3 linked regions of the Pelodiscus sinensis genome follow. The protein of the gene in region 2 interacts with the protein of the main gene of each other region in a biochemical or structural test. Links are inferred from orthologs where the notes say so. Each region holds a gene or a part of one and is shown on either strand. Other genes may lie near its edges.

What was found.
Region 1: the proteins of GIPC1 (region 2) and RGS19 form a complex in vitro, tested with the Homo sapiens proteins (2 studies listed by BioGRID). The link is inferred for Pelodiscus sinensis from reciprocal best matches to the Homo sapiens genes GIPC1 and RGS19.
Region 3: the proteins of GIPC1 (region 2) and LRP2 form a complex in vitro, tested with the Homo sapiens proteins (2 studies listed by BioGRID). The link is inferred for Pelodiscus sinensis from reciprocal best matches to the Homo sapiens genes GIPC1 and LRP2.

What each region holds. Positions count from the first base shown.
Region 1 is NC_134728.1:4,677,721-4,681,465, reverse strand, and holds the start of RGS19 (regulator of G-protein signaling 19), read left to right. Parts: upstream 1-945; 5' UTR 946-1,056; coding exon 1,057-1,086; intron 1,087-1,509; coding exon 1,510-1,646; intron 1,647-3,745. UniProt on the Homo sapiens protein: Inhibits signal transduction by increasing the GTPase activity of G protein alpha subunits thereby driving them into their inactive GDP-bound form. Binds to G-alpha subfamily 1 members, with the order G(i)a3 > G(i)a1 > G(o)a >> G(z)a/G(i)a2.
Region 2 is NC_134729.1:10,604,645-10,608,389, reverse strand, and holds the start of GIPC1 (PDZ domain-containing protein GIPC1), read left to right. Parts: upstream 1-1,469; 5' UTR 1,470-1,620; intron 1,621-3,745. UniProt on the Homo sapiens protein: May be involved in G protein-linked signaling.
Region 3 is NC_134717.1:39,567,852-39,571,596, forward strand, and holds the start of LRP2 (low-density lipoprotein receptor-related protein 2), read right to left. Parts: upstream 2,505-3,745; 5' UTR 2,367-2,504; coding exon 2,276-2,366; intron 1-2,275. UniProt on the Homo sapiens protein: Multiligand endocytic receptor. Acts together with CUBN to mediate endocytosis of high-density lipoproteins. Mediates receptor-mediated uptake of polybasic drugs such as aprotinin, aminoglycosides and polymyxin B.

The sequences.
Region 1 (3,745 bases), on a different chromosome or scaffold from region 2:
GTTTGGGCAGCCTTGGACAGGCTGTGCCTCTATTAATCAGATCCATGTTCCTCCTGGATTTTTACCCATGGGCCTTAGCAGTTTATTTGGCAGAGCCACGGTAGTTTATACAGGCAGAAGTGCACAGATGTGGTTGCCTCATCTCAAAAGAGATATCTTGGCATTGGAAAAGGTTCAGTAAAAGGCAATAAAACTGATTAGGGGGTTGGAACGGGTGCCATATGAAGAGAGTTTAAAAACACTGGGCTTTTTCACCTTAGAAAAGAGTAGACTAAGGGGGGGGGATGTGCTAGAGGTCTATAAAATCATAATTGGTGTCGAGAAAGTGACTAAGGAAAAGTTATTTACTTGTTCCCATTAACGTAAGAACTAGGGGTCACACAATGAAATGAATAGGTCGCAAGTTTACAGCAAAGAAAAGGAAGTCTTTCTTCACGCAGTGCACAGTCAACCTGTGGAACTCCTTGCCAGAGGATGTTGTGAAGACCTGGACTTTAACAGGGTTCAAAAAAGAGCTAGATAGATTCACGGAGGTTAGGTGCATCAATGGGTATTAGCCAGGAGGGGTAGGAACGGTGTCCCTGACCTCTGTTTGTCAGAGGCTGGAAATGGCTGACAGGAGGGGGATCACTTGATGATTGCCTGTTTTGTTCACTCCCTCTGGGGCACCTGGCTGGAGAACGGCCCTGCTGCCTTTGAGCACCGACCTCAGGGGCTCGTTCCAGCCCGGAGGAATTCCGGCCTCCCGGCCCAGCCTGCAGCATTGGGGTGTCCCCTTGGAGAACGGCCCTGCTGCCTTTTGAGCACCGACCTCAGCAGCTCATTCTAGCCCGGAGGAATTCCGGCCTCCCGGCCCGGCCTGCAGCATTGGGGTGTCCCCTTGGAGGACGGATTTGCCCGGCAGGCGGGCTTAACTTAAGAAATGCTTCTCTGTTCTCATAGGCTCCGTCTAGTAGGCTGCCAAGGCCCTAGGCGGGCGTGTCGACAGAACAGGTCCCTGGCCCCAAGCAGGACAGGCGAGCAGAGGTGGGCCAGCCGGAAACGTACAAGCTGCCCATGCCGACTGTGTATGAAGCTGGGAAGCAGGTGAGCTGGAGATCTGGCCCCTTGCGGGACAGGAGATGAACTGACTGCGGTAAAGGACAACCCCTAGGCTGGCCGGCCGGGGGAGAGCCTTAAAGAAATTCCAGTGAGCCACCAAGCCCCTGCAACCGCCCGAAGCTCAGTATTCTGCGCAGCCAGACCCCTGTCTGTGCTCTGCAATTCTGGGGCCAGAAGCAGCCCATGGCCTCTCCCCACCCCTTTGGAGGCAGAGGGCGAGATGGTTCCCCTCCTGCCCAGGCTGTTGCCTGGTAGTGTCTCTAACCGCCACGCGTGGGGCTGGCCACCAGTGCACAGTGCGTGGGGGGATCTGGGTTCAAGGGAATGTGGGAGGGAATTGAGCTGGGGGGGAGGGGCAGCACACAGCCCTGCTGGCTCCTTTACCCTCTCCATGCTCTTCCCTTCCAGTACACGGGACCTGAGTCCACGGAGAGACCCCTTTCGATGTCCCAGCATGAGACCTCTCCGGCGACGGTGCAACCCGCTGGCAACCACCGCCCCAATGCCTGCTGCTTTTGCTGGTGCTGCTGCTGCAGCTGCTCGTGGTACGTCCGGCGCGTAAAGAGACCCCTGCCCCTCTCTCTCCTCCCTCCCGTGTCTCCGGGTTGGGGAGAGGGGCCGCCCTGCTGCCGTTGAATCCCCGGGTGCGTTGTGCTCCAAAGTCTTCCCCCCTCAGCTCCCTGGTGCTCAGAAGCCTGGTGCATCACTCGTGGGCTGGGACGGGGAGGGAGTTTAGCGGCAACAGAGGAGCGTAAGGCTCTAGCCTGGGTCAAGCTCCTTTGTCCTTTGCTGAGATTGAAAGATCTTGGGGGCAGGGCCCACCTTGTGGCCTGTGTCTGTGCCGGGCGGCCCGGGCCCATGCCATCCCGGAGCCGTGCCCGTTTCTGGAAAGCTCCGGCGCTGGGCGTGCTCACCCTCCTGAGGAGATGCCTGCAGGCTCGTCCGCCGGCATGTTACATTTATCTAGGCTGCCGAAAACGCCAGTCGGAGCTTGTTGAGCGTGTGTGGGAAGGACCTCCCCCGCCCGCCAGGTTTGGAGCGTCCAGGCCGCCTGTGTGCTTGGTTTACAGTCGACGGCTAATTGGCGCAGTGTTTAAAAACTGACTGTAAACACCATTTTGAGCAGATGGCCCAGTGTTTGTGCTGCGGGTTGTTCAGAGCCTCGTGGAGTGCACTGTGCGTGCGCGTTTTCACTCTCCTCCACCCAAGGAGTTTGGAGATTTGAAACTTGGCAAATGGGCCGAGTTTTCTGAAACGGACGGTGTGTGAAGCCACTTGTCGACGGGCCGATCCTTGAGGCAGGGCCTGTTCAATTGCCTCTTTAGAAACGCGTTCTGTCCGCAATCCACTGGGCTCTGCTCCTGGACTGCACAGCATGGACACACAATGAGTGATGCTTCTGGGGAAAAATCTAGTGGCCAGTTCAGGGGGACGCAGAAATCCCATGCAAGTCCGAAGCGTCTCGGTCCCCTAGCTCTGATGCCCGTAATCAAATGGCTCCAAAATAGCCACAATCGCCTCCTGATCCAGAGGGGAGGGGGAGCCCCTGCCTGTCTACTGTCAGAACAGATTTGTGAGCTGGTGTGTGTGCTTCTCTCGTGCTGGTCACTAAATCCCCAGATCTGAAGTTCTGTGTCCAGCAGGTGCGGGGGCTGCTTGTCTGGTTACTCCTGTGTCTGTACCCAACCCGCTCAGCATTAGGATGCCCAACGGAAGTTGTTTAGCATGGTCAAGGGGGAAAAAATGACCCTTGCTGGTTAGGACCCATCACTCTCTATGGGTATGTCTACACTACCACCCTAGTTCGAACTAGCGGGGTAATGTAGGCAACCGGAGTTGCAAATGAAGCCCAGGATTTGAATTTCCCGGGCTTCATTTGCATCTCGCCGGGTGCCGCCATTTTTAAATGACCGCTAGTGCGGACTCTGTGCCGCGCAGCTACACGCGACACGGACTAGGTAGTTCGGACTAGGCTTCCTACTGGGGAGGAGCGGCTGTGACCAGCCTCCTGCACAGGGGAGTTCCACAAGTACCCTCTGCCACACCCTGTTTGGCATGGGAAGTGGGTGCGTGCAAATGTGCCCTTTGCTGTACGGTTGTCCCCTGTGGCAAGCTCGCCCCTCACCGTGTACCCTGCCCATCTCTGCTGGGCCTCTGGGTGGGATTCGTAGAGCCCGTTGAGCTCACAGCCCTGGCTGCCTTTGGGCTGTAGCTGAGCTCCTGGTGCTGCCCACTTTCTGCCTGGCTCATCGGAGCAACCTTGTCCCTGCTGTGAGATCAGTGGAGCTGACGGCAAATTCCAGGGAAGAGTCTGTCCGGCTGCAGTCTTGGAGTGTCTTGGTGGTGCAAGATGCTAAGTAAACTTACAACCAGTGTACCAGCCCCTCCCTGTACAGACAGGCATGAGGTGCCCAGGTACTGTCTTCCCTCCAGGTCTCCCTGTCTGATGATCCCTGGACTGTGCTCAGGGAAGGTGTGGGGGGGCCCTCTGCACAGCTGTGGCAGCGGTGTGGGGGAGAAGGAAGTACTCCAGCAAAGCCACCTTCCACACAAGGGAGAGTCCACAGATCCATCGTCTCTCCCAGCTGTGTTGCTTCTTGCCAACACAAACCAGGTCTGTGTTCCCTGTAAGCCGGGCGTTTGT
Region 2 (3,745 bases):
TGCAGCTACCAGGCCTGCATACCCATGAAACTACCTGAACCAGCACACGATGCACTCAGTATCATAAAGGGTATTGCAGTGGATTGCACCTGTATTATAATTAGTGGCTGTGATGTGGTCTTCAGGCCCCCAGCAACTTCCTAGCTCAGCCAGCGGATGATACAATTTGCTTGCTGCATAAAGGCCAATTGAGATAGGGTCCCACTAGGTTAGGCTCTGTGCAAACAGTAGATATCCTGCAGAGTTTCTGCTCTAAATAAAACAAAATCAGAGTGGATGGAGGAAGAAATACAATAAGCAAAGTGAACTATGTGAGACCAGCAAATACCAGTTCCATTAACAGTTTTTCTTTTGGATGGGTTTAGCCAGGAGCAGGTCAGCTGAATGGGAAAGGAAGCAAGAGTGGGGGCAGCAGAGAAGAGGTGTAGGTGTGAAGTAAAGCTAAGATGAAGAAACGGGGATGGAAAGTAATGTTGGAACTAGGGATGTATTATCCTGTTTAATCAGTTAAAGGGGGCCCCTCCCCACCATGGTTGGGCTGGAGTGCCACAGGCAGGAGTTGCTGGCTCCCAGCCTAAGCAAAGCTACAGCTCCTGGTCCTGCATGGGGCTGCTAGCTTTCAGCGGCTGTAGGCGGAGCCGGCAGGTCTGAAGCAGCCCTCCGCTTGAGGAGGCTGCTCCCGGGTACCAATTAACCATTACCCACTCAAGCAGAGAATCTGCTAAAAGCTAAACATCATTAAAGGTTCACCTTAAAAAGCACCTGTTAGTTACAAGTACTCACGGGAAGCTCAGAAATGCAATACTAAACGTCTCAACCTTGAATAACTGTCCCATCTGTTTCTCACGTCAGCTGGAATTGGTACTGGATACCGATTTGAGAGAATGTCAAATGCATGCCTCCCTTCATTGCTTTTAAAAACGGAAGTTGAGCCAATAACAATATTCGTTCATTCACCTCGTCTCTCAATAAGGAACCAACGAGAAGGTATTGATCCGCGTACCAGGCCGCTGGGTCTGCATCATTTGTAGCCTTTCCTCTACAGCCCTGTTTTAGGCAGGGGGAGGGGGAGGATGGGTAATGCACCTGGTCTAGGTACTCTACCAACTCTTCCACCTACCAGTTTCTGATTGGCTATTTTCTATGTTCTTGCTTGTGATTGGCCAGGAAAAGCTGCCGAGGCAGAATTGGTTGGTAGGTGTTTCCTGTAGCCAACGTCAACAATGACAATTCCTGGGGGTCCCCCCTCCTTCTTCAATAGTATCTTGCAACTCCACCTCTGAATGGTAGCTCCCACTCTCGCTCCTTTTCGGGCTCCGCGCTCTCCTGGGATGGTATCTGCCTGCTCCTCCCCCATATTCGTACACTCTCTTAGATTGGACGCTTCCATTGCGCCCCGAAGGGGGAGAGGAAATGGAGGGGATGGATCCAGAATGTGACCGCCCAGTTCACCGCCCTGCCCAGCTTGGATTGGCCAAAGGGTGCGCGAGGTGTGCTGTGATTGGATGGCGGGCGCGGAGCCTCTCCCGCCCGGAGCCCTCCCTCCCGTCCCCGAGCGACAGGCCCCAGCTGTGCCCGGCCGGAGTTTGGCGGAACTAGCCCTGCGGGGAGGCGGACGGGGTGAGTCGGCGGGAGGTGCCCAAGGGCGGATCCGAGGGGGGGTGGGAGCAGCTCGTGGGAGCCTGGCAGTGGGGGGGAGGGGGACTGTTCTGGGGGGGGATAGGAGCAGAGGGGGGATGGGCGTGGGGGGAGGTGCCCTCGGCTGCGGGGAGGGGAGCAGAGGGTCAGAAGGGGGGATCAGTTCCGGGGGGGGACAGCTGGCTGGGGGGGAGGGGTTGTTCACCCCTAAGTTGGGCAGGAGCCCCCCAGAAGAGGATGCTGTGGCAGGGATGGGATTCCAGCTGGAGTGTGTGGAGGGGGGGTCAGGCTCTGCGCAGGATGTGATTGATGTGCCCTTGACGGGGTGTGTATGGTGCATTGGCACAGAAGGATGGCCTGTGCGGGTTGTGCCTCAGAGGGCCTTGAGGAGTGGAGGCTCATGGTACCTGAGGGATTAACTGAAGGCTATAAAGTGGGGGAACTGGGAATTGTACCCACGAAATCCTGGATCTCAGGTCCCTCCTGTAATCACCCTAGAAAGCTCCCTCCTTTATGCAAATGCATCTGCAAGCTTGTGTAGGATAAACGGCATGATTGAGGTGCTGCCCCTGTGTCCAAGTACCGCCTTACAGTTAAAGCAGGTTACATTCCCAGTGCCATTATTAATTCCCTCTGTGACCAAGAAGTCTTGTTTATACTAGGGACATAAGCGACTAGTCGACTACCCAATTAGCCTAGGCTTACTGGATAGTTGACTCACTAGTCACTTCCCCCTCCTCTTGCTGCCTCTGTATCAGAAGCAGCAAAGGGAGGGGGAGCATGAGACAGTGCTGGGGGGAGCTAGTTTAAAAGCCGATTTTCCCCCCTCCCCCGAGCACTAGCTCCGCAGGGGGCAGGGGAGGCAGAGGTGCAGCAGGGCAAACAGCACGAGTGGGGTACTGAAGCAGTCTCCACTCGCACCAGGTCCCGACTGCTGTGCCTCTGCCTTTTAAATGTAGTAAGAGCCTTGGAGCAGCTCTGTCTACCATTAAAAGGCAGAGGTGCAACGGGGATAGCAAGCACTACACTCTCCCCTTATCAGCTACTTGATTAGCTGATTAATCAAAATTAGCATCCCTACTTTGTACTCCACTTAGCTATCTGGAAAGTAAGACCCACCTGCCTCATGGGGGTAAACAAAGATTAGTTGATGTATATTGGAAGCACTTTAAGTTTTGCCACTCAAAAGTCCTAAAATAGAAATGGGCAGCATGGAATCTCCAAATGCATATGCAGAAGAAGGGGCAGCATCCTGTAAGTTGGCTTGGGTTTGGTTTGGGGTTTTTCTGCCTATATGAAAGATCAAAAAGGTTTTAACTTAAGTTTAACATGAATTCACCAAGGGCAAGTCATACTTGACAAACTTGACTGCCTTCTGTGTCCAAGTAACTGGCTCTGTAGGTATGGAGAAGGTGGTGGACGTGATATGCCTTAACTTTAGCAAAACTTTTGATCCAGTCTTCCACGGTATTCTTGCCCGCAAGTTAAAGAAGTATGGCTTGGATAAATGGACTGTAAGGTGGATAGAAAGCTGGCTAGATTGTCGAGCTGTTGATTACTACCCGTTGAGCCCAATATCTGTTTGGTGGTTGGTATGAAGCAAAGTGCCCAAAGTCCTTGGGTTGATTTTGTTCAACTTTTTTATTAATGACCTGGATAAGGGGATGGATTGCCGTAAGCTAGGGGGAGAGGTAGATACATTGGAGGGTAGGAATGGGGTCCAGAGTGATCTAGACAAATTGGAGGATTGGGCCAAAAAATCTAATGAGGTTCATCAAGGACAAGTGCAGAGTTCTGTACTTCGGAAGGAAGAATCCCAAGCACTGTTACAGGCTGGGGACCAACTGGCTAATAGGGATGTTAAAATGCATTTATCTTTGTAAACATTTGTTACCACTGAATTTTTCATGTTTACATATGAGGGGGGAGGTGGCTCCCTCAGAGCTGCCCCCCTCAGAGGCAGCAGTGTGGGGCATGGGGAACAGCTAGGAGTCAGTGCTTGCGAGGAGCCAGCAGGGCTCAGGAAGGGACAGGCAGCTCTGTGGGAGTTGGTGTTCATGGGGAGCCAGCTTAAAAGCTGACTCCCTGTGAGCACCAGCTTCTGCCT
Region 3 (3,745 bases), on a different chromosome or scaffold from region 2:
TCCTATGTAACTTCGGATTGCGAAAATAGTCATTGTGACATGTTTAACAAACATTACGGAGTAAGATTTGTCGAGAGAGAAGGCACAACACAAGTTACAATAGGCATAGGTACTCAGATCATACTGAGTCTTCTTAGGCTTCTGAGACCATCCAGTTTCCATTCAGTACTCCCAAATTCAAATTGCCAGTATTCAAAAATCATGAGTCATGATTCAAATCTTGAAATACTTTTTAAACAATTAATAATGGAGGTGTTTGTTGAGTAGGAACTTCTGATTTTTGACCCAATAGTGTATGTTTGGGTCATATTTTCAAATTTCTCTCAGCATCCATAAGATCTACAATCAGGGCCAGATTAAGGGGCAGCTGTCCAGGGCGCCATCCTATGGGGGGCGGCTGATTGAAGTGGTAAGGGGCACCAAGTGCCCAGGGGTGAGGCCGCCCATGTGCTGTGCGCCCGAGGCTGGGCTGCACATGCGCCGCGCGCCTGCTGCCTGGGGTGCAACTATGGCTCAGTCTGGCACTGTCTACGATCACTTAATTTTTTTTTAAGTGACAGCGGAAATCCTCACATAATCACAGGATTCCAAGAACTAGAGTTTTAAGAAAAACACCAAATATCATGCGACTTGGGTTAAGAATCCCAAGAGTTCACAATGCTATTTTGTTCACAGGTTTAAACACAGGTATTAGTCCAAAGACTCCATGGCTAACATTAGATCATTTTATTAGCATAATTATGCTGATAATTCTTACATCCAGTACAGAAAAATTAATGCCTGCCCTGCTTTTGGGTGCCAATTCATAATTTCCCCCTAACTTTGCCAAATAACTGATGATTTCACAGTCACATCTATGGTACATGTGTCCTAAATTTTCTAGGTGCAACTGCAGAACAAGACAATAAGCATTTAAGTCATGACTGTATCTTCAGCTGTATGAGTGTAAATAAGAGTGCAAAGGAATTAGCTCTCTACCCAGTGTGACCTCTTTGGCTGGAGCTTTTGCAATGCTCCTGTTGTACATTAGCTATCTCCTAACTACTTCCCTGCTCAGCAAAGGGAGCTGTTAGCAGCAGTTGCTGTATAATTACTTACTTCATTCCTTCTAAGAAGCTTACCCTAAGAGTTGAGCAAAGAAAGCAGATTAACAATTTGAATACATCCATCTAAGGCACACACATAAAACAGTGGGGCCACCCGGCCAATAGACGTGGCCCAGGAAATTCACTCCATCTCCTCCCGCTGGAACAATAAGGGGTTTGGTTTTCATTGCGGGGCAATTACCGTGTGTGGGAGCGGGCAGGGGAGAGGCAGGAAGAGCCGGGCTGCAGTTGCGGGGGGGGGGGGGGGGGAGCCAGTGGAGATAGGACTCCTCCATCCCCAGCCGCCAGATTAGTACCAGAGTAGGCGGCGGCGCAGCCTATCGCGCGCTCTCAGCCTGCTCTGCCAGTCACATGCTCTCCACTGTAACCTAGCAACAGCAAAGCCCAGAGAAAAAGTTCTCTCTCTCTCTCTCTCCCAACTTCAATCTGTGCCCGAGACGGAGGGCGGCTCATTGTGCTCCACACTAAGCATCGGTTGCTTTAGCTCAGGTCCCGCATGTTGCACAGGCCCGGGACGCGGCCACGCTACACATGCCCGAGCCGTGCAAATCACACCAGCCGAGCCCGCGGCGAGCTCATGGAGCGCACCAAGGTGCAGCTTCACCCGGGGGCTGGCTGCAAACCCTGAGCTTGGAAACGGGGGTGGGGGTGGGGGTGGGGGCAGCTCAGCCTGCTCACGTTGGGCTGCAAAACCACGCGCGCTGGAGGGGCCCGGCTGCACCGCCAGACGCAGCTCTTGAGAGCGGCTCTCCGGGACCAAGGGGCAGGTTTCAGCAGCAAGCAAGCGCCAGGGCGCAGCGGTGTTCTTGCCCTCCTTGTGCCCGGCCCCATTGCATCTCCTCCATAAAATGAGAGCCCCCCCCCTTCCCGGGGCTTTGCACCCCTGAACGTCTCACAGCTCAGCGGCTGCTCCCCGCGGGACTCGCGGCCCTTCGGCGAGCGAAGAGCCACGGCGAGGGAAGCAAAGGCCGAAAGCAGCCCGCGGAGGAGCTGTCACAGAAACCGCTGGGCTCGCTTCTTGCAGCGCCCCGCTCTACTTGCCACTAGCGAGCTTCGGGGAAGGCGCCGCCTGCGGCTCTAGCCCCGGGGAAGCCAAGGCAGGCAGCTCCCTCGTGCCCCTTTCCAGAGCCCCGAGTGCCCCCCGGACCAGGCTGCAATAGGGGGCTTACCCTGGCCACTAGCCTGCATGATGCACGCAGTGAGTAAGATGAGCACTTTGCAAGAGGCCGCTGCTCCGTCCATCCCGCGACGAGAGCCCATCGGGGCGGGGATGCTGCAGCTCCCTCGGGAGCTGGCTGCTGGGCTCAGAAGTCTGCTCGGCCCCGCACCAGCCCAGCCGCCTGGTGTCTTTCTCTTATCCGGCTAGTTGCAGAGGAAAGGCGTGTTCGCCAGCTGAGACATCGCGTTTCCTATAAACTCCCACCCTCCAGACATTGCATAAAGCTCTTTATACCCAGCGGCCCCGGAACTAGCATGAGGGAATCAGGCACCGCTCCAGGCCCTACAGCCGGCTGCCTCTGCCCCTCCTTCCGCGCGCACTGTGCAGGGTAGGAGGGATGCTTTCACACCACTGCACTCCAATGACTTCTCACATCGCCCTGGCGCTGCCTTGTAACGCGCTTTGGCCAGATCCGGGGTGAGTTCGAATAGCAAACAGGACCCCGCGTTTGACGCCCGAGTCCCAACCGACAAACACTGTAGCCAAAGAAAAGGAGTTTGGCGAAGGAGCCCTGGAAAGGCTTGACACCAAGACGTGACATTCAGACATTGGGGTAAAGTTGAAAACGCTGATTTGTGCCTATCAGTCCCTAGGGAGACGCACTCACTCGCCTCTAAAACGGGGTTGAAGCCTTGACAAGCCCAGAATGAATCTTGTTTCTCCACCCGAGCCTGTCCTGGGTTTCCCGGGAGAGAAAAACCACTTGCAGAGAGCGTTGCGGCCGCGGGGGAAAGTATTGCTAAGGGCAGCCTGAATATCTGCTCATTTGTCAACAGTATTGTGACGGGCCTGGCTTTGCCAAGGGGGCCTTTGTGTCACAGATACACAATAAATCACCGGTGAAATACCCAGCCACGGTTCAGCTATTGCTGCCATTTCAGGAATTAGATATAAGACTATAGTAGAAAACTAGATTATTCGCGAGGGGGGAAACGGGGCGTGTTTGCATTTTTCAGAGATTACTCCCTATGGAATCGGCTTAAGTATTTCGGGGACTCATCAGAAGATGGTGGTGTGAAGGCAGTACGGGGAGTCTCTCACAGAATTGTTAAACTAACGGAATTTATAATTCTGTTAAACTGCTGAGAAAGTTAATCGTGTAACTGAACATGCCTTAGTGTAGTGAGGTCTTTAGTTAGACAGTTATTTTAAAGAAATTTATCACGATAAAACTTTGTTAGGTGATGAACTTCACTTAACTCCCCCTCTCAAGTTCTCCTCCTGTATGAAATACAACATACTCGAGCATTTCAGGAACAACTGATTGCTGTGTAAATCGTGGGATCAGAGGGGGGAGAGATTAGTTTATCTGACAACATGATTTGTCCTCTTCATTGCAATTGCCCCGCCTCTACACACTCCTTATATTAGTTGCATAAAGTTTACCATTTACTGTATAAAGTTTATATTAAACTGCAGG